3 linked regions of the Canis lupus familiaris genome follow. The protein of the gene in region 3 purifies or fractionates together with the protein of the main gene of each other region. This does not show direct contact. Links are inferred from orthologs where the notes say so. Each region holds a gene or a part of one and is shown on either strand. Other genes may lie near its edges.

Region 1 (6,558 bases), on a different chromosome or scaffold from region 3:
GAAATGACAGCTACACTCTGCACAAGATCTTACCCAACAAGGTAGACCCACTGGTGTCACTGATGATGGTGGAGAAGGTGCCAGATTCAACCTATGAGATGATCGGTGGATTAGACAAGCAGATAAAGGAGATCAAAGAAGTAATTGAGCTGCCTGTCAAGCATCCTGAGCTCTTTGAAGCACTGGGCATTGCACAGCCCAAGGTGAGAAGCAAGATTTCTATGGAAGGGTCATGCTGTTACTGGCATGTCCTGCCCTTGCCAAAGTGAGTACAGGGCTCAGGGGAGGTGTCTGGACCCCCACTTAATGCTGGCCCTCCCCATGGAAGAGGGGCTGGAGAATGCAGCCAGGGCACTGAGGTAGTTCAGAAAGCAGCACTAGAAAGGACCTTGACGTTCATGATTTATACCCCTGGTATCTAGCACGGGATCTAGCCCAGGGTCAACACCCAGTAAATGTTCACGGAGTGTAATGTGGGGATGGCTTCTGCCCTGAGTTCTGCTGTTTCTCTCTAGGGGGTGCTGCTGTATGGACCCCCCGGCACTGGGAAGACACTGTTGGCCCGGGCGGTGGCTCATCATACAGACTGTACCTTTATTCGGGTTTCTGGTTCCGAGTTGGTACAGAAATTCATTGGGGAAGGTAACTATGGCTAGAAACAATAAAACCAAGAAGTGATTGGGTGGAGGTGAGGGTAGGGAGCTCATTGCCTTCTTAACGCCAGCTTGGCCTCTGCACAGGGGCAAGAATGGTGAGGGAACTATTTGTCATGGCACGAGAACACGCTCCATCGATCATCTTCATGGATGAAATTGATTCCATTGGCTCCTCACGGCTGGAAGGGGGTTCTGGAGGGGATAGTGAGGTACAGCGGACAATGCTGGAGTTGCTCAACCAGTTGGATGGCTTTGAGGCCACCAAGAATATCAAGGTAATGTGGCATCTAAGGGAAGATCCTGGGTGAGGTACAGCCCGAGGCAGGGTTTGGCCGGAGCCACCACCCGCCTTTTCCATTCAGGTTATCATGGCTACTAATAGGATTGACATCCTGGACTCAGCGCTGCTTCGCCCTGGGCGCATCGACAGAAAAATTGAATTCCCACCGCCCAACGAGGAGGTTGGTGAGGGGCAGAGCAGGGAATGGCTCTGGCTGTGGGAGTAGACCACAGGGCTCAGGCTTCTCCTCTCCTTTCTAGGCCCGGCTGGACATTTTAAAGATTCATTCTCGGAAAATGAACCTGACCCGGGGGATCAACCTGCGGAAAATTGCTGAGCTCATGCCTGGAGCCTCAGGGGCTGAAGTGAAGGTAATCAGGGAGCCCAAGGAAAAGGGGGCAGAGGTGGAAAGCTGTGGGGTCAAGGGCACAGCCACAGTGCCTGACTTCCTTTCTCTGCTCAGGGTGTGTGCACCGAAGCCGGCATGTATGCCCTGCGGGAGCGGCGAGTCCATGTCACCCAGGAGGACTTTGAGATGGCCGTAGCCAAGGTAGAGGCCTCCACCTTTCTGCTTTGCTGACGGCATCTCGAGCAGGGGGGACAGAGGGTGTGTTCATTCTGTTGGTAACTTCATGCTTTCTCTCTCCAGGTCATGCAGAAGGATAGTGAGAAAAATATGTCTATCAAGAAGCTATGGAAGTAAGGTGCTTGTCTTTTGTGTGGATCCCTCAAATAAAGCTCTGCAGGACAAGCCTTAAGGACTTCAGTCTGTTAATGAGTGGCCATACTATTCAATGACCAGGTCCAGGTACCACCAATAAACAAGGATTTATTTGGAAATTTCCAACCTGCCAGAAGTGGCACTTGCCAAGCCCTGGGGTCCACCCTCCTACCAAGCTCCAAAGGGCAACAATAGTCCTCCCCACCTCCCCCCTCACACCCCCTGCCCTCCACCGTGTGGAGCACACACCCGTGTACCTCAGGCCGTGCCAGAGAACTGGAGTCCCCTCCGAGGAGGCTCCACCACCTTGGGCTCAAGAGCTAGGGTGACAGCCCTCTGGCATCCGAGGAGATGATGGCGGCCAGAGCCGCTTGCATAGATTGAGGAAAAAAAATACGGAAGGAGGCACCAAACAGGACTCCCTGAAAACCCCAACTTACCCCTGTACAAAAAAGTGGCTCCCGCATAGAAAAACCTGCTTCCCACATAGTGCAAATACCCAAAGGAAAGGAAAAAACCAGCAGCAAGGCTGGGCTGGTAGGAATGGCGAAGAACTTTGGTTTAGAAAGGCTAGGAAGAGTGTGAGCTGTGCTCCTCTTCCTCACCCAGCTCCCCAGAGCCAGCTCGCACACTGGCCCCAAGGGGGTCTGTAAACAAGCAAAGCCAGCAGGCCTGGTTCTGAAATGTCTCCATGACAATGTCAAAGTACAGCCTCCAGCAGACCTACTTGGGCCTGCCTGCCTGCAGGGAGCAGAGGAGGCATCTCTTGTGAACCCATTTAAAGCCAAAGTATGAAGTAAGTATAAGGCTTTGGGGACCAAGCAACAAAGAATCCTATCACTACATTTATGAAACTATAGCTGGGGAGCACAGGGTAACAGGACACAGCCCTCACCCCATCCTTAGCCTATGTGTCTGTGGCCCCAGAGAGTGGTCCCCTTCCAGGCAGAGGAGGGGTTCCCTGAGCGGTTAGGTCAAGCGGATTCCCAGCACCTGTTCCAGTTCTTGCCTTCGCTGCTGCACCTGGAGAGGAGAGACAAGTGGTTCAGGCCGCTGCTGCTCACAAGCTCAAGAGGGTGCACAGGGCAGAGCCTCACCTTCGCAAAGATGTGCCTCCCAACTGCTTCCTGGGCCCAGGGCTGGTGGTAGAAAGCAGCTCGTCTCTCCTCCTCAGGATTCCCAATCACATCAGTGATGATCTGCAGAGAGCCAGAAAGAGAGTTGTCTATATGCAGTTTCCACCCCTGTGCAAGTCTGCCCCTGGAAGCGGTAGTAGTGAGGCGGGTAAACCTCCCCTAGGGCTGCATGGAATCCACCTCAGGAAGAGGAGCGCACCTTGAGGTCTCGGCGCTGAGAACGGAGCCATTCCTGGATGAAGTCCTGAGGGTCCGTGCTAAAGCTGAGCATGAAATCCCTCTGGGTCTTCAGCTGGTTGATGGACTCAATGGTCTCATGGATCTGGAGAAAGGAGTACACATGTCAGACTGGCCCCCACTCTCAAGGAGTCCTGTTTCCAGGCCTCACCCCTAAGGACTCAGAGATCCTATCCCAAGGTGCTATGTGTACAGAAATGCCCAGCAGAGCCTGTCCACTCCCATCTTGGGTCCCATAGAAGGCTGGAGAGGCAGAGGGCCCACCTTGACATCGAGGGAGGCAATCTCCTGCTGATTGGTGGTAGAGGCCAGAAAATTGCTCATCTGGGCCTTGAGTGGGTCGTCTACCTCCACATCAATGTCGTAACATGCTGTCTTCTTCTGGTCGTTAGGGTCTACGCTGCAGGCAGGACACCAGCGGGAAGGGTAAGCACACGGCTATATCCATCCCACCCGCCTGGGCCAAACCTGCACACGCTTAAGGAGCAAGAAGCCAAACTTGCTGCTTCTCTTTGGCTTTTAGATCAAGCCAAAAGTAAATGGCTCTTAAAAGAGTCTTCCCATCCCCATTTCTTTTTTTTTTTTTTTAATTTTTTTTTATTTATTTATGATAGTCACAGAGAGAAAGAGAGAGAGGCAGGCTCCATGCATCGGGAGCCCGATGTGAGATTCGATCCCGGGTCTCCAGGATCACGCCCTGGGTCAAAGGCAGGCGCCAAACCGCTGCGCCACCCAGGGATCCCCCCATCCCCATTTCTATTTACCTAATGACATGGTTGATGACAATGGGGTCTGGATGCTGCAGCAACCCAGCCAGCTTCATGGGAATCTCAGAGAAACGAAGTCGGCCACAACTGAAGATCTAGAGAGTACAGAGGTTTGGTGATGCCTCTGAGGGCACAGGAAGTGTGGAGAATGTGGCCAAAAACCAGCCTCGTGGGGCTTTGGTGCAGTGGGCAAAGCAGGGGCCTTGAGAATCGCAAGGAGGATGGCGGCCAGCTCACCTGGCGGAAGTAACGGTTGCAATTGATGTACTCGCGCTCATGCCCATCCTGCAGTTGGTTGTGTTTGATATAAAGCCAAAGAGCCTGCATGATGGCCGCCCTTGTCTGTGTGTGCACCCCCAGCAGCCTTGCCAGTCGGGGGTCCAACTTGTACTGGGGAGGCTGGAAATGAACAGAGGAGAGTCAGGGGTGGGGCTGAGTTCTTATGAGAAACCAAAGTGGAAGGATTCACAATAGGAACCTGCCCCCCTCCCCCAGAGGACTCCCTGTGGCCCCAGACATTTGTCACCTGATGATCTAGCATGAGCAGGAGGGTGCACTTGACGTTGAGGTCTCCAGGCCGTTTGACCTGGAAGCCATCAGTCTCCTGGGTGGTGGGCATCCGGTGCCACTGGCAGGGAGGAGGGGAGCAGACCTCATCACTAAGGGAGTGGGCATGAGCATCCACGCTTGGCCCTCCAAGAGACCAAGGCCCACCCATGCTCCCCATGCCCCAGGGCCACTCTCACCTCCACCAGGTGGTTGTCAGGCCCATATAACTCTTTGTCCAGCTCAATGACGAGACTCTTAAAGAATGAAGAAAACTTCCTCTTCTGTTTGCTAGGCTGGGGAACGGTAACGGGCATGAGCTGGGGCTGCTAGGCTCTCAAACCTAAGCTAAGCTAAGCCCCCCGCAAAGAGTACCACTTCACCCCTGACACTCAGGGGTACTGAAGACTTGGACCCTGGAGAAAGTGATGAGACGAGGCAGAGTGAGGGCCTGGAGGCCTGGAAGGGCTCTGCGCACAGCAGCCCACAGGGACTGAGAGACGGGTACCCCTCCCTCCAGACACCTCACTGCCGGCAGGGTAACTACTGTCACAGCCGTGCACGTCAGCCTCCAACCTCTGACAGCCCAGAGCTGACCCCTGCAGCAGAGCCCTCTCCCTCAGGCAGGACCTCTCCAAAGTGCCCAAGTGTCTGGCCCCAGTCTTAAGCCCCCACAGGCCACCTCTCCTCCAGACGCCACATTTCCCAACTCACATCATCCAGCAGTTTTCCCTCCACTCGGAGTTCCCAGGAAGCCACCTTGTCCCCTGCAGGGGTTCCCCCAGGGGGCCCCGCGGTGCCCGCAGTATCGCCTTCTGCCTTGCTGGGGCTGAACGTATTGGAAATATAGATGCGCAGCTTTCGTTTTTGCTAGAGCGAGAAAGACAGCCAGCTAGCAGTGGGCCAACATGCTGGGACACAGTGCTACCCGATGTTTCTGTCTGGACTCATTCAGCATGGATACTGCCTGTGGATGAGGGGCCAGGCACCTTGCTAGGCACTGGAAACCAGGAGTCAGAAATCCCAGGCCCAGACTTTAAGGAACTCACAGTCCTGGGGGAGGCAGATGGGACTTCCGAATTCCAGCACAGTGGGATCGGTGGGGTGACAGGGACATACAGGGTTTTATCGGGCAAATCAGAAGCTTCCAGCTCACACTTTAAACACAACTCAGTCATCAGGCCCCAAAGTAACCTTGTCTCTGGAAAGCTTTCATTACTCAGGGGACTGTTTTAGAGTATTATTTTTTAAAAGGAGTGGGGAGGTGTGGGAGGAGACTGGAATTACCCTTATCTACCCTCTAGTCTTGCCCTGCAAACTTCTGACCACAATCCATAAGAATCACGCTTTCAATCATGATCAAGGATCCACATACATACACAAATATCTGAAACAAAATGTTATGAAATGATATTTTCTGAGACGCTTGGGTGGCTCAGCGGTTGAGCATCTGCCTTTGGCTCAGAGCATGATCCCCGAGTTCTGGGATTGAGTCCCACGTCAGACTTCCTGCATGGAGCCTGCTTATCCCTCTGCCTATGTCTCTGCCTCTCTTTCTGTCTCTCGTGAATAAATAAATAAAATCTTAAAAAAAAAAATGACATTTTCACCACTATGGTAAGTACTATACTACTGTGAAGTATTAGAACTTCTACTTTTTTAAGATTTTATTTATTTGTTCACGGGAGAGAGAGAGAGAAAGAGAGAGAGAGCGAGGCAGAGACACAGGCAGAGGAAGAAGCAGGCTCCATGCAGGGAGCCGGATGCAGGACTCGATCCCGGGTCTCCATGATCACGCCCTGGGGCTAAAGGCGGTGCTAAACTGCTGAGCCACCCAAGCTGCCCTAGAACTTCTATTTTGTATTTTGTTAAAAACATGCTGGTCCCACCACATGAAATTGAGTTCATGCTTCACTAATGGGCTGCATCCGGCAGTGCAAGAAATCACAGCCCCATGCTTGGCCTCTGGCAATCAAGGCCAAGGAGAGGCAGAGAAGTCTGAGGGCCAAGGACTGGCCAGGGCTGCACACGCACCGTCAGAGGCTTTTTGATGGCCTCTTGGATCTCCATCCGCTTTCGGGCAATGGTCTGGTCCAGCTTCCGCTCAAAAGCCAAGAGATCCATGTACGCCTGAGACTCTGGGACAAGCTCCCGAATCTGGAGGAAGGAAGGAATTTGGCTTGTTTAAGCAGCAGCTCTGGCTCCCTGCTCGCCC
Region 2 (6,558 bases), on a different chromosome or scaffold from region 3:
CCACATCGGTCATGGTCTGGGGGACAGGGAAGGGGGGAGAAAGAGGAGAAGGACTTGTTTCCCTCCTTCATACCTGTTATGGATGAATTGTATCCCCCCAAAAGACGACAAAATCCTAACCCCCCAGTACCTGTGAATGTGACCTTATTTGGAAATAGGGTCTCTGCAGATGATCAAGTTAAGATGAGGTCATTAGGGTGGGCCTAATCCAACAGGACTGGTGTCCTTATAAAAAGGGGGAACTTGGACACAGAGACAGACATGCACAGAGGGAAGATGATGTGAAGACACCTGGAGAACACCATCTGCAAACCAAGGAATGCCTGAGGCTATCGCAAGCTGGGAGAGGGGCCTGGAAACACATTCTCCCTCCCAACACCCTGACTTCAGACTTCCAGCCTCCAGATAAAAATAAATTTCTCTTGTTAAGGCACTCAGTTCGTGGTACTTTACTACGGCAGCCCTCGCAAACTACTAACACAACGACCAAAGTCACCCCCTGCTATTAATGAGTCATTGCTCTCTTCTGGGATCCTTTCTGGCACCCCTTGTCCTGTGTTCCTCTGCTCAGCCTCCGTAATTACAGTCACCACAGGACAGGAGAAAACTGAGGGCACGTTTCACTCTTTCGGTACTCACTCCCACCTCCTTGCCTGAGCTTATGGTGCTCTCCTCTCTGAGGATTACCGCAAATCCGAAATTTGCCATGGAGCGTTCCCCGGCTATTCCAGCCTCACCCATCTCCGTCTTTGAATTATGTCTTTGGTAGTGGTGAGTTCCGATAATGTCTTACATACTTTACAACTTTTTTTTTTTTTTTTTTTTTTTGCTTTACAACTTTTTAAATTGTATCAGTCGGTTCCCTTCCCTCTAAAAGAAAATAACCTGGTCTGAAACAATCCTTTATTTTTTGCTAGTAACCTCCTTGCTATCAAAACTTTCCATTCTGTGCAAGTCCTCAGAATGCCTATTTACTAGAAGGGATGCTGCCCAGTTCATGAATCATTGAATAAAACCAATTAGATCTTCACATTTTAAATAAATAAATAAATGCATTAATCCTATGAGCCTAGTTTCTCCAAACAGAACGCAAGCTGCTTTGAAAGCAGAGATCCAGTTTTCCACTCTGCATCCCCTCCGATACGGTACACCAGTGACACCTCATAGTACGTACTAGATGAACACTCGATGGTTCCACCTCCATTTCCCTACTTGGTTGTAAAACGGACCCGAGAACATGCTAAAGAAAATCTGGTCCTTCACCTCCCCTCTGGCTCTTCTACCAGATGCTACAAAAATAAAGCAGATGTGTGCCTCACTGATCTAAGTCCCTTCGCACCTTTCCCGGGTTCTTTACCTTGAGGTCCCGGCACTGGGACTGAAGCCAATCATTGATGAAACCCTGAGGGTCTCGGGCAAAGCTCAGCATGAACTCCCGCTGGGTCTTCAGCTGATTGATAGTTTCTATTGTCTCATGGATCTGAAAGGAAAAGAAGGAAGCTTAATAACATTTCAAACTGGGAAATGCGACCTTAAATGGCAGACGGGGGGCAGCCCGAGTGGCTCAGCGGTTTAGCGCCACCTTCAGCTCAGGGCGTGATCCTGGAGTCCCGGGATGGAGTCCCACATCGGGCTCCCTGCACAGAGCCTGCTTCTCCCTCTGCCTATGTCTCTGCCTCTCTCTCTCTGTGTCTCTCATGAATAAATTAAATCTTTAAAAATAAAAATAAAATAAAAATAAAATAAATGGCAGATGGTGTCTGCATTTCCATGTGCCAGCCACTCCCAACCTAGGCCCAGAGTGCTGCCCAGAGCCTCAACTGCTCCAGCACACGGCATTCTTTCAGCAGCTGTGTGCACTGTGTCACACGCCCCATGGGAGGGAAGTTTTCCTTCTGATCCCTACAATGTCCACTACAGGTGAAGCCACATGGTGAATACTTAATCCACAGCACAAATAAGCGCAAAAACATTCTGAGGTAGGAGCGGTGGTACAGGCAGCTGTCTCAAAAGCCATGGCCCAGGGGGGTTTGTCCCTGCCCTTCTCTCATCATCCATACTCTTCCTGGCAACTTCCTTCACTGGCACATCTTCCATTACCACTGATGGGTTCACGAGTCCTCAGTCTGCAGATCAGAGTCCACTTTCTAAACTCCAACCACTCTAGCTGCTTGATAATTCAAGACACATGAAACTCTGAAACAAAATTCACTACCTTTCCCCCAATATTCACTTCTGTTCTCCGGTTGCCAATCTGAATGAACACTACTATGCATCCAAGCGAAAACCGTGGGAGTCATAATGCCTTCTCCTCCCTCAAGCCACACTCCACTGACCCCATATGAAGAGTATCCAAATCTCTGCAGGTCCAAATCTTGACACCTCTGAGATCTGTCCACTTCTTTTCATCCTTATTGTCAGTACCCCAAGTTCAGGCCCTCCAAACCATGTCACAGGCGTTACTGCACTGACTCCTCAGTGGCCTTCCTGTCTCCAGATCTGCCTCTCTTACAACTTGCTCTCTGCCTTCCTGCCAGTGGTCATTCTAAATGCAAAGAGCATCGCTACCTCCAGTCTTTGGGACAAAGTATAAATAAACCAGTTTCCCTTCTAAAGCTTCTTTAGAATTAGACTCCTGCTTCCCTATCCAATTTCCTTCCCCCAAACTTCCCATTCCTAGCACCCTAAGATATATCTAGCACACTAGACAGCTTGTATTTCTTGAACATGCCAGGCTCACTCTCATTTTGGGACCTTTACCTACCCTGTTCCCTCTTTCTGAATGTCCTCTGCCTCCCACACCCCTAGGCACTATCCTTTCTCCCCTTTCATTAACTCTCACTTTGTCCTTCAAGATTTAGTTGGGGTATCAACTGATCCAGGAAAGCGTCCCTGTGCTCCTTTGTGTTCCTCAGAATGGTTTCTAGCTTTACCTTCATGGACAATGTCTATCGAGGAAAATAACAGTAGCAGCAGCAGTTACCATTTGTTTTCACTTGCCAAACACTGTGTCGTCTTTATGTACATTGTCTCATTTAATCCTCATGACAATCTTATTAAAAAAATGATACTGTCGGGCAGCCTGGGTGGCTCAGCGGTTTAGCGCCGCCTTCAGCCCAGGGCCTGATCCTAGAGACCCGGGATCAAGTCCCACGTCAGGCTCCCTGCATGGAGCCTGCTTCTCCCTCTGCCTGTGCCTCTCTCTCTCCTTTTCTGTGTCTCTCATGAATAAATAAAATCTTTAAAAAAAAAATGATAGTGTCTATTTCATAGTTCAGAAACAGGCTCAAAGCTATTAAAAGCTATAGCAGAATCATAACAGCCAGCTCCAACTGGCACCAAGCACAGTGCCTGGCATAGATTAGGTGTTAATACATTCTGAATGAGTGCTAAGAATCAAAAGATAGCCTAGAAGCTGTGGCAGAGGGCTGGTGGCACCCAAGGTACCCAGGACTGGGGCCCCCTACCTTGTTGTCTAGAGTAGCAATCTCCTGCTGGCTGGCGGTAGATAGCAGGAAAGAATTCATCTGAGTCTTCAAAGTATCATCCACTTCCACATCGATGTCATAACAAGCAGTCTTTTTCTGATCATTTGGGTCAACACTGGGGAGGAAACCAAAGGGGACTAGTAAAGGGCTTGTCCCTTAAGACCAATTTACACAAGATCCAGAAGAAGGCCTGAGAATGAGGGTAAGAGGTTGAGAGCAAAAACACATAAGAGAACTTTTGCACATAACTGAAATTTCCCATACCTTCCTTGTGATGGTAGCTACATGGTGTCATGTTTGACAGTCTCAAACTATACTTCAAGAGTGTATGACCTATTGTATATAAACCCCAATAAAGCTGTTGTTTTTTTAAAAAAAAAAATCAATGGTAAAAATTCAAATGGTACAAAAGATATTCAGTGAAAAGGAAGTTTCTCCCACCCCAAAAGAAACTACTACTGTAGTATCTTATATATCTTTCTCCCTATTAAACAAAATTGACCCTGAAAATAAATTCAAATAAAACACACACTACACAAAAGGCTTAACTTTAGCACAAGAATACAAGAGAGATCAGCTTCTAATGATCCAACATATAAATTGTAGGAGTTACTATTGGCTGAGTGACAGTTCAGGATATAAAGAAAGGAAAGCCTTTATCAGAATTAACATGGAGTAAGGGAAAGGCTGCAAAGAGACTACAGCCAAACCACCTGCTGCTCTGAGGAGGAGGAAAGGCATTCCCTCACCCCATATCTAGTGGGATGGAGTGTCCCAACTAAATCTTGAAGGACATCTTCTGAACAAAAAAGTGGGAAAGGATAATGGAATTGTTGAGCCTCAGGTTAGAATGTTTTACCAACCACAGAGGAGATGGTAGCCCATCCACAATGAGTTGGTAAATGTCTAGCAACCGATTCTCCAAAAGGGGAGGGAAAAAAAGCCAATTTGCAGCATTTGTGGATTTCTGTGGTTTAGATATTCCCAACCTGGTTGATTACAAGCTGCCAAAGTTGTTTTACTGATCAAGGAGCTGGGATGAAATGTGCAGTAACACATCCTAACACAAGTATCCCCTGCTTCTTTATTTATTTATTTTTCCCCCCTGCTTCTTTAAAGTTCACATTATGCTGCTTTGCTTTTCCGAAAGACTTACATTAGTTTTTCCAAGGATTTTCAGGTTTATGAGAACCCGCAAGAAGCAACACTAGCATTCAGGATTTGTGCTGCAGCAGTATCACAGAGGCAGTGCGCACCCCAAACAGCAAGTGGTGCCCCCAAGCTCCCTCTCTGGGAGATCTAGAGTCAGCATCTCAGCAGCAAGCCACCACAGCTTTGATTTGTGTCTGTGAGCATGTGGACTTTATTTCTGTTTATCTTGTGCAAAAGAGGTCATTTTGGGCGTCTGAGACATTAAAAAAATTTTCCATTTAAATTAATGGTAATCACTTTGCCTTTTTTTTTTTTAAGTTTTTATTTATTTATTTGAGAGAGTGTGCGCGAGAGAGCACAGAGGGAGAGGGAGAAACTGACTCCTCGCTGAGCAGAGAGTGATGTGGGGCTTGATCCCAGGACCCTGAGATCATGACCTAAGCCGAAGGCAGACACTTAACTGAGAAACTCAGGCATTCCTGTTTTCTTGCTTTATGCCATTTCAGCTTAGAAAAGCTTTCACAAAAAAAATAAAAATAAAAAAAAAATAAGGAAAGCTTTCATAGGAACGCTCTACTTTTGGATAGCAGGGGAAATGGGCTAATATTTCCACTATACAAACACAACAGACATAAGAAACCTCAAAACCTGGGACGTCTGGGTGGTTCAGTGGTTGAGCGTCTGTCTTTGGCTCAGGGCATGATCCCGGAGTCCCGGGATTGAGTTCCACATCAGGCTCCCTGCATGGAGCCTGCTTCTCTCTCTGCCTGTGTCTCTGCCTCTCTCTGTGTGTCTCTCATGAATAAATAAATAAAATCTTAAAAAAAAAAAAAAGAAAAAGAAAAACAGAAACCTCAAAAATATAAATACCAGTAAGATCCAATAAAATAATCAAGAAGTAATGAGTTTTTTGGGTATAGGTTATCCTCTTTTTAACTAAACTATAGATTTGAATAATTTAAATAATTGCTATTTGACAACCTGCTTCCTGGAAATTTGACAACTGGATTGTCAAAGTTGGTACCAGCCCACTCCATCACACTGCTGCCTCTCCTATACATGCTCACCTGATGACATGATTAATGATGATGGGCTCTGGTGGCATAAGCAAGGCATGGAGCCGCTGAGGGATCTCTGAAAACTTCATACGTTGAGACTCAAAGATCTGTGTGAAAGAGGAAAGGTAGCTAAGAAGTTGGCATTTTGAGCACAACTAGAGCTCCACTGGACTCTGGCAAAAGAATGGGCCCTTTTCTTACCTGCTGGAGGTACTTGTCACAGATGACAAACTCCCGCTCATGAGGGTCCTGGAGCTTATGTGTCTTAATATATTGCCACAGTGCTTGGATGATCACTGGACGGGTCTGGGTGTGGATGCCCAGGAGCCGAGCCAGACGAGGGTCTAATTTAAACTGGGGAGGCTGCAGAGAACCAAAGAGTAGAGGGATGAAGCTAGGGAGCTAGGTCTATATGTATTTTGGGGTGCTTTAGCGTGGCCATGCATTCAAGCCATTCAACAAGCATTAACGTAGTGTTTTCTCTAGGGCCAAAAAACACTAGAAAAAACTCAAGAGATGATTAAGACCCTTTCCTTCTTTTTGGGGAGTTTATCATATGGTGACAAACTACCCACAACTAGACATAAACCTTTAAATTATCAGGCAGGCTGCTGATGGGAGATGGCTGTGAAAGCAGCAGGGTCCCCAGACATCACCACAGAATACCTGGTAGTCTAGCATCAGGAGGACAGTACACCGTACATTCACATCTCCTGGCCGTTTCACCTGGAAGCCATCCGTCTCCTGGGTAGTGGCGGTCCTGTGCCACTACAGAGAGGAAGATGTCAGGGGGTGCTCTCCCAGAGGAAGAGCTGGGGTGGGAGGGAAGAGCGTCTGTAATGACTGAATATTCAACTTTG
Region 3 (6,658 bases):
TTGAAATATACATGCTGTGAAGTGCCCAGATTTTGTGTGGTTCAATAAAATTTTATAAAGTGAACAAATCTATTGTACCCACTACCAGATGAAAAAGAACATAACTAGCACCTTTCATTTTTTTAAATAATAAATTTATTTTTTATTGGTGTTCAATTTGCCAACATACAGAATAAGACCCGGTGCTCATCCCATCAAGTGGCCCCCTCACTGCCCGTCACCCACTCACCCCCACCTCCCGCCCTCCTCCCCAACTAGCACCTTTCATGGCACTTCTTGTCACTATCCTCTGAAGAGAAGTACTCTTGAGTTTTCACCCCAGAGATTAGTGTCTGAGTAAGGTTTTTTTTTGTGTGTGTGTGTAAGTTTTTATAAGCGGAATCATACGCCATGCTTTCTTTTGAAACTGGCTTCTTTCACTCAATATTAAGTTTTTGAGATTCGCTCATGTTGTTGTAGAAAAATAATTTGTTCTTTCCATTTTGTTTAATTCATTCTACTGTTATGGGCATTGTTTTTTTTTTTTTTTTTTTTTTTTTTTTCCAGGCTTCAAGCTACTACAATTAATGCTGTGGTGTACATACTTGCACGTGCTTTTTGGTGTATATATCCACAAGTGAAGTTGCTGGGTCATAGTATCTCTGTGTGTTCAGCTTTAGTGATAAAACTGTCTTAGTCAGCTTGGGCTACTATAACAAAATATTATAGACTGGGTGGCTTAAACAACAGACATTTATTTCTCACCATTCTGGAGGCTGGGAAATCCAAGATCAAGGTGCCAGCAGATTTGGTGGCCGGTGAGAACCCGATTCCTGGCTTGTAGACATCTGACTTCTTGCTGTGACATTACATGGCCTTTATTAGGGAGAGAGATCTCTGTCTTCCTCTTCTTATAAGGGCACTAATCGCATCATGAGGTCCCCCCCACCTTCATGACCTCATCTAAACCTGATCACTTCCAAACAGCTCACCTCCCAAATATCATCATGTTGGGGGTTAGTACTTCAACATATGAAGAAGGGGAGCACAAACATTCAAGCCACAACATACACTGTACTTTTCACTCCTGCTTTGGAGTCACCTCTGATACTCTTTGTTCCCACAATCATTTAGTTCCTAGGGGTAAAAGAGTGGACCGGTATTGTTTCTGGTTTTTTTTCCCAAGCTGCTGGCACCTATTCTGCAAGTTGAGTGCAGGGTAGGCAGTGACAAACACCTTGCAACTCTCAACTGCCAAAAATTATTTTAAGGCACAGTGATGGTAAGATGTCACCTGGTTCTGAAATATTAAAATAGGGGATGGGGGCAAGAAATATACGCATCTCGGAATTTATGGAATGAGGTATATGGCAAAGACCATGGCCTGAGGACTGTGACATTTACAAGTGGAACAAAGGACAGACTTAACAAAAGAGGTAAAGGAACTTCAGTGTGCTTAGAGCACATCTAAGAGAATGCTGGTCTCAGAGACCCTGAAAAGAGCTTGAAAAAGGAGGGAATGTGGGGGGAATGTGGGTTGAACGCTGGACTCTTGATGTTGGCTTAGGTCATGATCTCAGAGTCATGGGATCAAGCACCCCCACCCCCATCGGGCTCCTTGCTCAGCATATCCCTCTCCCTCTTCTTCTCACCCCCTCCTTTCACACGCTCTCTTTCTTAAATAAATAAATCTTTAAAAAGGAAAAAGGAGGGAATGGTCAGTGGTGTCATGGTGTCTGTGTTTCAACGAACCAGTAGGAACAAAATCATTAAACTGGGCAGAAGGGGCCTTGGAAATAAGTCAGCAGAGATACGGAGTATAAACAGAAACTTTGCCTTGAAAGGATGGAAAAAATGGGACGATAATCCAAGGCCACCATGGGCTGCAGGAAGGGCTCTCTGATTTTTATTTTTTAAATTTGTAATTTTTGTTGTATTATTTATTTATTATTTATTTATTCATGAGAGACACAGAGAGAGGGAGAGAGAGAGAGGCAGAGACACAGGCCGGAGAAGCAGGCTCCATGCAGGGTGCCTGACGTGGGACTCAACCCCGGGTCTCCAGGATCAGGCCCTGGGCTGAAGGCAGCGCTAAACCGCTGAGCCACCGGGGCTGCCCAGGGCTCTGATTTTTATTTTATTTTATTATTTTTATTTTTTTTTATTTTTACAGGGGCTCTGATTTTTAAAGATGTTAAGCCATGTTTGTACACGAATTTGCGATTCAACGGTGAAGGAGAAATGAATGGTACGAAAGATTCAGGGATAATTGCAGGAGGGAAGTTCTTAGAGCCTAATTGGAGGGACAGAAGTAGGAAGCAAGGGAGGTGGGTAGCACTGAAGTTGGTGGCAGGGTTTTGTGGGAGGAAGGGGAGGCAATTTTTGCCAAGACTCCAATACTCATGCCAAAGAACTGCTCAGTTCGGGACGTTAATCTTCCTCTCCCTGAACGGGCACACGACTGGAGGCCCAAGCGGATGGTGCACCGTCTTCTGCTGTCCACCAACAGCCCCCTCCCCGCGCCCGTGAGTGAGGACAAAGGGTTAACCACAAGGTTAAAGGTCGGTGAGGCAGCAGTACGCATAGGCTCCATCTAGCCTAACTCTGGGCCTCCAGTTTTCACCAGCTTCATGTCATCATTTCATCAATCCTCTCCTTTCTGTACCAGCCCAGACGCTCCCTCCCCGGTCCGGTCCTCACGGTGGAAGACCCCGGGCTCCCCGCCCCCGTGCCCGTCGCGCCTGCGCGTTGGGCTCCCTGGGCTCCCCCGCCCCTGTGGACAGTCACGAAGCTGCTCTCGGGCGCGCGTGCTCGGGCGGCGCCTGCGCAGAGGAACGAGGAAACCGGTTCCCCGGTGCGGTCCCTGCGCCTGCGCGCTGAGGGCTCCGGGCCTCCCGGCCTGAGGGAGAGGAGCAGGGAAGATGGCGGCTGTGGTAGAAAATGTAGTGAAGCTGTGAGTAGTGGTTTCTTTCTCTCCTAGGCCAGGAGGTCTTGTAATGGGCCTGGGAGTAGGGGGCGGCGCGGCAGGGGACTAGGCGGAGGGAAGGACGTGCCCGAGAAAGCCTTGTTGCGACTCCTAGTAGGGAGGGCAACAGGAGACTCACAGGAAGACGTTGCGCTTCTTTGGAAACTTGTGGAGGCCCTGAGGGGGGCACACGGGAGCCCCTTACGGGCAGCCTCCCTGCGGGGCTGTGCGGGCTGAGCGCTCCTTCGGGCTCGCGGTGTCCTGAGTATGGCGCCCACGTTGCAGACGAGAAACACGGTCTGAGTGCGCTCCCGAGACCAGACGCCTCGGTGCGGAGGGGCCGGGCCGGGCCGAGGGCGGCCCCGGGACCCACCCGCGTCCCCGCGAAGCCAGGCGCCCCCCCTTCCCGCCCCGCTGCCCGCAGCAGTTCCTGGAGCAACAGGCTCAGCAGCCCTTGCGTGGTTAAGCATGGCGGGGCTGTTTTAACAGCCCTGTGACGTCCGGGGGTGGGGGGTGGGGGTCTTGAGTATCTGATACCCGAGACCAAAAACATTATTGGGAAGAATTTGTTGAGGTGCGGATGCAGCAAGGAAAGAACTTGAGGGCCTTTGCGCCGGCCAGTCCAGCCACCGAAAAACGGGAAGTGGACGGAAGCGGTCCAGGACGCCTCTGCAGCCTAGAGGGGCATCTAGGTCGGCGTGCTGCGCGCTGTGCAGTCAGTCCCCTGCTGCTGGGCAGGCTGCGAGCAAAGTTAAAGTTCATGGTTGTTGGGGAAATGGAGTGTGGTCTGTTGGCCGTGAGTTAAAAATGCTTTGGGACTTGATTTAACCCAGCCTCCTCCCTGAAGAAGATCGAAATGGGTTCGTACCTGGTGGACGAATAGAGCGAACTCTGTTTAATGGGTGAATTGGGCTTGGTGCAGAGGTGGGAAAATTGAGAGGTGACTAGTTGTCCAGGCAGGGCTTGTGGATTTTGACTGGATGACAAGGTAAAGATTTGGAACTATTCTGAGGGACTCAGCTTCTCAGCTGCCTTTGTGGTGGGCTGAGCCCCCACTCTTCCCAAGAGTCTTTATGGAGAGTACGTTGCTTTGCCCACATCCCCCCACCCCCACCCCTCCCCGCCTGGAGCCTTTTCTTTGAGAATGCATTCCCACTTCCATTAAGCTAAGTGCCTTCTTCTCCTCCTGTGGGTTTTTTTTTTTTTTTTTTTTTAACTTGCTTTCAGCTCCATCCTGCGGCCTCTTTTCAGCTACCCCTCCTCCCAACACTATTATCTTTCTCTCTGATCTGCCCACTCCAGTTTCCCCCAGCTCTTTCTTCAGGCTGACATTTCCCTCAATTTAGAAATGTCGCTGTTGATCTACCATTTATATAGTTATCCTTCCTGACTCCTGTTCTTTGTTTCCCTGCGTTTCTCTTTGTTGATTACCCTCCACCCCAATCCCATTGTAAAGGGAGGTTTTACACAGTTTTCATGCTTCCCAGAAAAGAATCAGAGCTCCTACCTTGGAAATTTACTGTACTGGGGGAATGTAAGACTTGCCTAGGTTTTGCGAGTTCACGGGTAATGGGACTTTATGTTGGAAGACTTTCTTCAGGGGAATAGAGTTGTCAACCCTTTCATGTAGTACTAGAAGGGAGGAGTTGCCCATTTCAACAGAGCATGACTTACTTCTATTAAAGGGACTACAGAGATTGTGAGGGGCACCAGCCACTAGTTCCTGAGTACTAGTAACGAGAAACCAACTTTCTCCTCAGTTCTAGCTGCAGAGGACTATGGACCGCAATTAATACATTTCCTTACAAAACTTGCCCTTTGAGAAGGGGTTTCCAGTCTTCCTGTACTATTCTCACCCAGGAGAGAGATACTTTTCTGGAGCTTCTCTTGATCGTGGTATGCTTGTTTTTTGAACAGCTGAGGTTATACATTGAGGTCAGCACTACTAGCTCATCTTCTCTGGCTTGCATCTTGTTCTGAGAGAATTTTCTTATTTATGAATTCTCTCACTCTCTCTTAGTTTCTCCTCATCAGATTCTCTCTCCCCCCCCAACTTAGGCATTTCATTCCCAGTTCTCTTACTCACAAGACAGTTTGAACCACCTTCTGAAATCCCACTTAACTCACAAGTGCTTTGATAGAACATCTCTCATTGTTCCCCAAAAAAAACCAATTCTGGCCTCCATGCTGTGACTTTGCAGCCCTCAGCCTGTCTCTCCGTCCTTCCATTTGACTTCCAGTGTCAGTATCCATTCCCATCAGCAGAAACAAAGGAGCTGCTGCACTCGGCCTGTTTATCCAATTTTCCTCTGTGTGGTGAGGACATGGCTGCCTCCTAAAGGCCAGCTAATGTGAGCCTGTTCCCTTCTCTTCACTCTCCAACACAAAATTCATGCTTACCTCAAATTACAGGCATTACTGCTCATTGAATCAAGCCAGGCATCGCCTTGTGTGTGATGTATGTCTTTTTCAGTTGCTTGGGAACATACTAAGCTGTGCCTAAGTACTATATTGTGACTGCTCTGAGAAGCCCCCCTCGGATTCCAGAGCGTGGTTTGTCGGTGTATCTTGAATTACGGACATAAGCAACAGAGACTCACTCTGCCCAGCTTCTCATGCTAGGGGTCTCCCTCATGTAGAATATGTTAGAGCTTATCTAGTCTAGCAGAGGAACTTGAGCTGCATGTGGGCTGACTAAATGTCCACGTTTGTGTGACTTGCGGCCATGCAAGGTCTTTTTACTCCCAAGTCAAATGTCCCAGACACCTTCATGGGTGCTGGGGAAACTATGGGTAAGAAACCACCTCTGCCCTCAGTTTATTTAAGATTGATTGTATATGTAAATACGAATCACTGTAGTTAAAGTTCCAATATTAACATGCTTGTTAAACCCTGAGGATGAGGGATCCCTGGGTGGCGCAGCGTTTGGCGCCTGCCTTTGGCCCAGGGCGCGATCCTGGAGACCCGGGATCGAATCCCACGTCAGCCTCCCGGTGCATGGAGTCTGCTTCTCCTCTGCCTATGTCTCTGCCTCTCTCTCTTACTGTGTGCCTATCATAAATTAAAAAAAAAAAAAAAAAACCTTGGAAGATGAGATTGCTTCTATATACATGCTTCGTAGAACCAGGTTAACTCCTGGCACTGTGTAGTTTTCCAGCTTTTTGAAGCACTTAAAGGTTTGCCCTTGATTTAGATTTCAAACTGAGTCTTTTGAGTATAAGAAGGTTCTTTCCTATATAATTTGATGGTGTGAGGGGCGCTTGGGTGGCTCAGTTGGTTAAGCATCTGCCTTTAGCCCAGATCATGATCCCAGGGTCCTGGGTTGGAGCCCTGAGTCGGGCTCCCTGCTCCCTGCCACTCGCCCTGCTTGTGTTCTCTTGTGGGTGTGTGTGGGTGTGTCAAATAAATAAATAAAAATCTTAAAAAAAAAAATAATTTGATAGTGTGAGAATGGAAAAGGGCCTAGGATGGGCCTCTCTGAGCAAACAGGGTTTACATCACTCTGATAGTACTCAGTGAAAAAGTAGGCTTCAAGGAAGTTCAGGTATTTTCAGATGTTTTCCATTGACTTTAAAATTAGCATATAGAAAAAATTTTTTTAAATTTAGCATATAGAATTAATTAGTTGGCTAAATACAAGTTTCCCCCCACTTCCAAACAAGTAGAGTGTTCATATGAAACTGTTTATAAGCCAACATGGCATAAAGCAAAGAA

The links.
Region 1: the proteins of DPF2 (region 3) and SMARCD2 purify together in Homo sapiens (affinity purification with mass spectrometry; 6 studies listed by BioGRID and IntAct, counting the BioPlex papers as one, with this or other methods). This does not show direct contact. The link is inferred for Canis lupus familiaris from reciprocal best matches to the Homo sapiens genes DPF2 and SMARCD2.
Region 2: the proteins of DPF2 (region 3) and SMARCD1 purify together in Homo sapiens (affinity purification with mass spectrometry; 9 studies listed by BioGRID and IntAct, counting the BioPlex papers as one, with this or other methods). This does not show direct contact. The link is inferred for Canis lupus familiaris from reciprocal best matches to the Homo sapiens genes DPF2 and SMARCD1.

What each region holds. Positions count from the first base shown.
Region 1 is NC_049230.1:15,134,454-15,141,011, reverse strand, and holds the end of SMARCD2 (SWI/SNF-related matrix-associated actin-dependent regulator of chromatin subfamily D member 2), read right to left. Parts: intron 6,501-6,558; coding exon 6,378-6,500; intron 5,214-6,377; coding exon 5,058-5,213; intron 4,640-5,057; coding exon 4,544-4,639; intron 4,426-4,543; coding exon 4,324-4,425; intron 4,197-4,323; coding exon 4,035-4,196; intron 3,893-4,034; coding exon 3,795-3,892; intron 3,431-3,794; coding exon 3,295-3,430; intron 3,116-3,294; coding exon 2,993-3,115; intron 2,857-2,992; coding exon 2,755-2,856; intron 2,681-2,754; coding exon 2,627-2,680; 3' UTR 1,740-2,626; downstream 1-1,739. Other genes in the region: PSMC5 (26S proteasome regulatory subunit 8), read left to right, coding at 1-203, 516-642, 741-931, 1,019-1,117, 1,197-1,307, 1,400-1,486, 1,586-1,639. UniProt on the Homo sapiens protein: Involved in transcriptional activation and repression of select genes by chromatin remodeling (alteration of DNA-nucleosome topology).
Region 2 is NC_049248.1:42,019,752-42,026,309, reverse strand, and holds part of SMARCD1 (SWI/SNF-related matrix-associated actin-dependent regulator of chromatin subfamily D member 1), read right to left. Parts: intron 6,467-6,558; coding exon 6,365-6,466; intron 6,062-6,364; coding exon 5,900-6,061; intron 5,806-5,899; coding exon 5,708-5,805; intron 3,604-5,707; coding exon 3,468-3,603; intron 1,481-3,467; coding exon 1,358-1,480; intron 434-1,357; exon of another isoform or gene 17-433; coding exon 1-16. UniProt on the Homo sapiens protein: Involved in transcriptional activation and repression of select genes by chromatin remodeling (alteration of DNA-nucleosome topology).
Region 3 is NC_049239.1:52,348,139-52,354,796, reverse strand, and holds the start of DPF2 (zinc finger protein ubi-d4), read left to right. Parts: upstream 1-2,781; 5' UTR 2,782-2,900; coding exon 2,901-2,932; intron 2,933-6,658. UniProt on the Homo sapiens protein: Plays an active role in transcriptional regulation by binding modified histones H3 and H4. Is a negative regulator of myeloid differentiation of hematopoietic progenitor cells. Might also have a role in the development and maturation of lymphoid cells.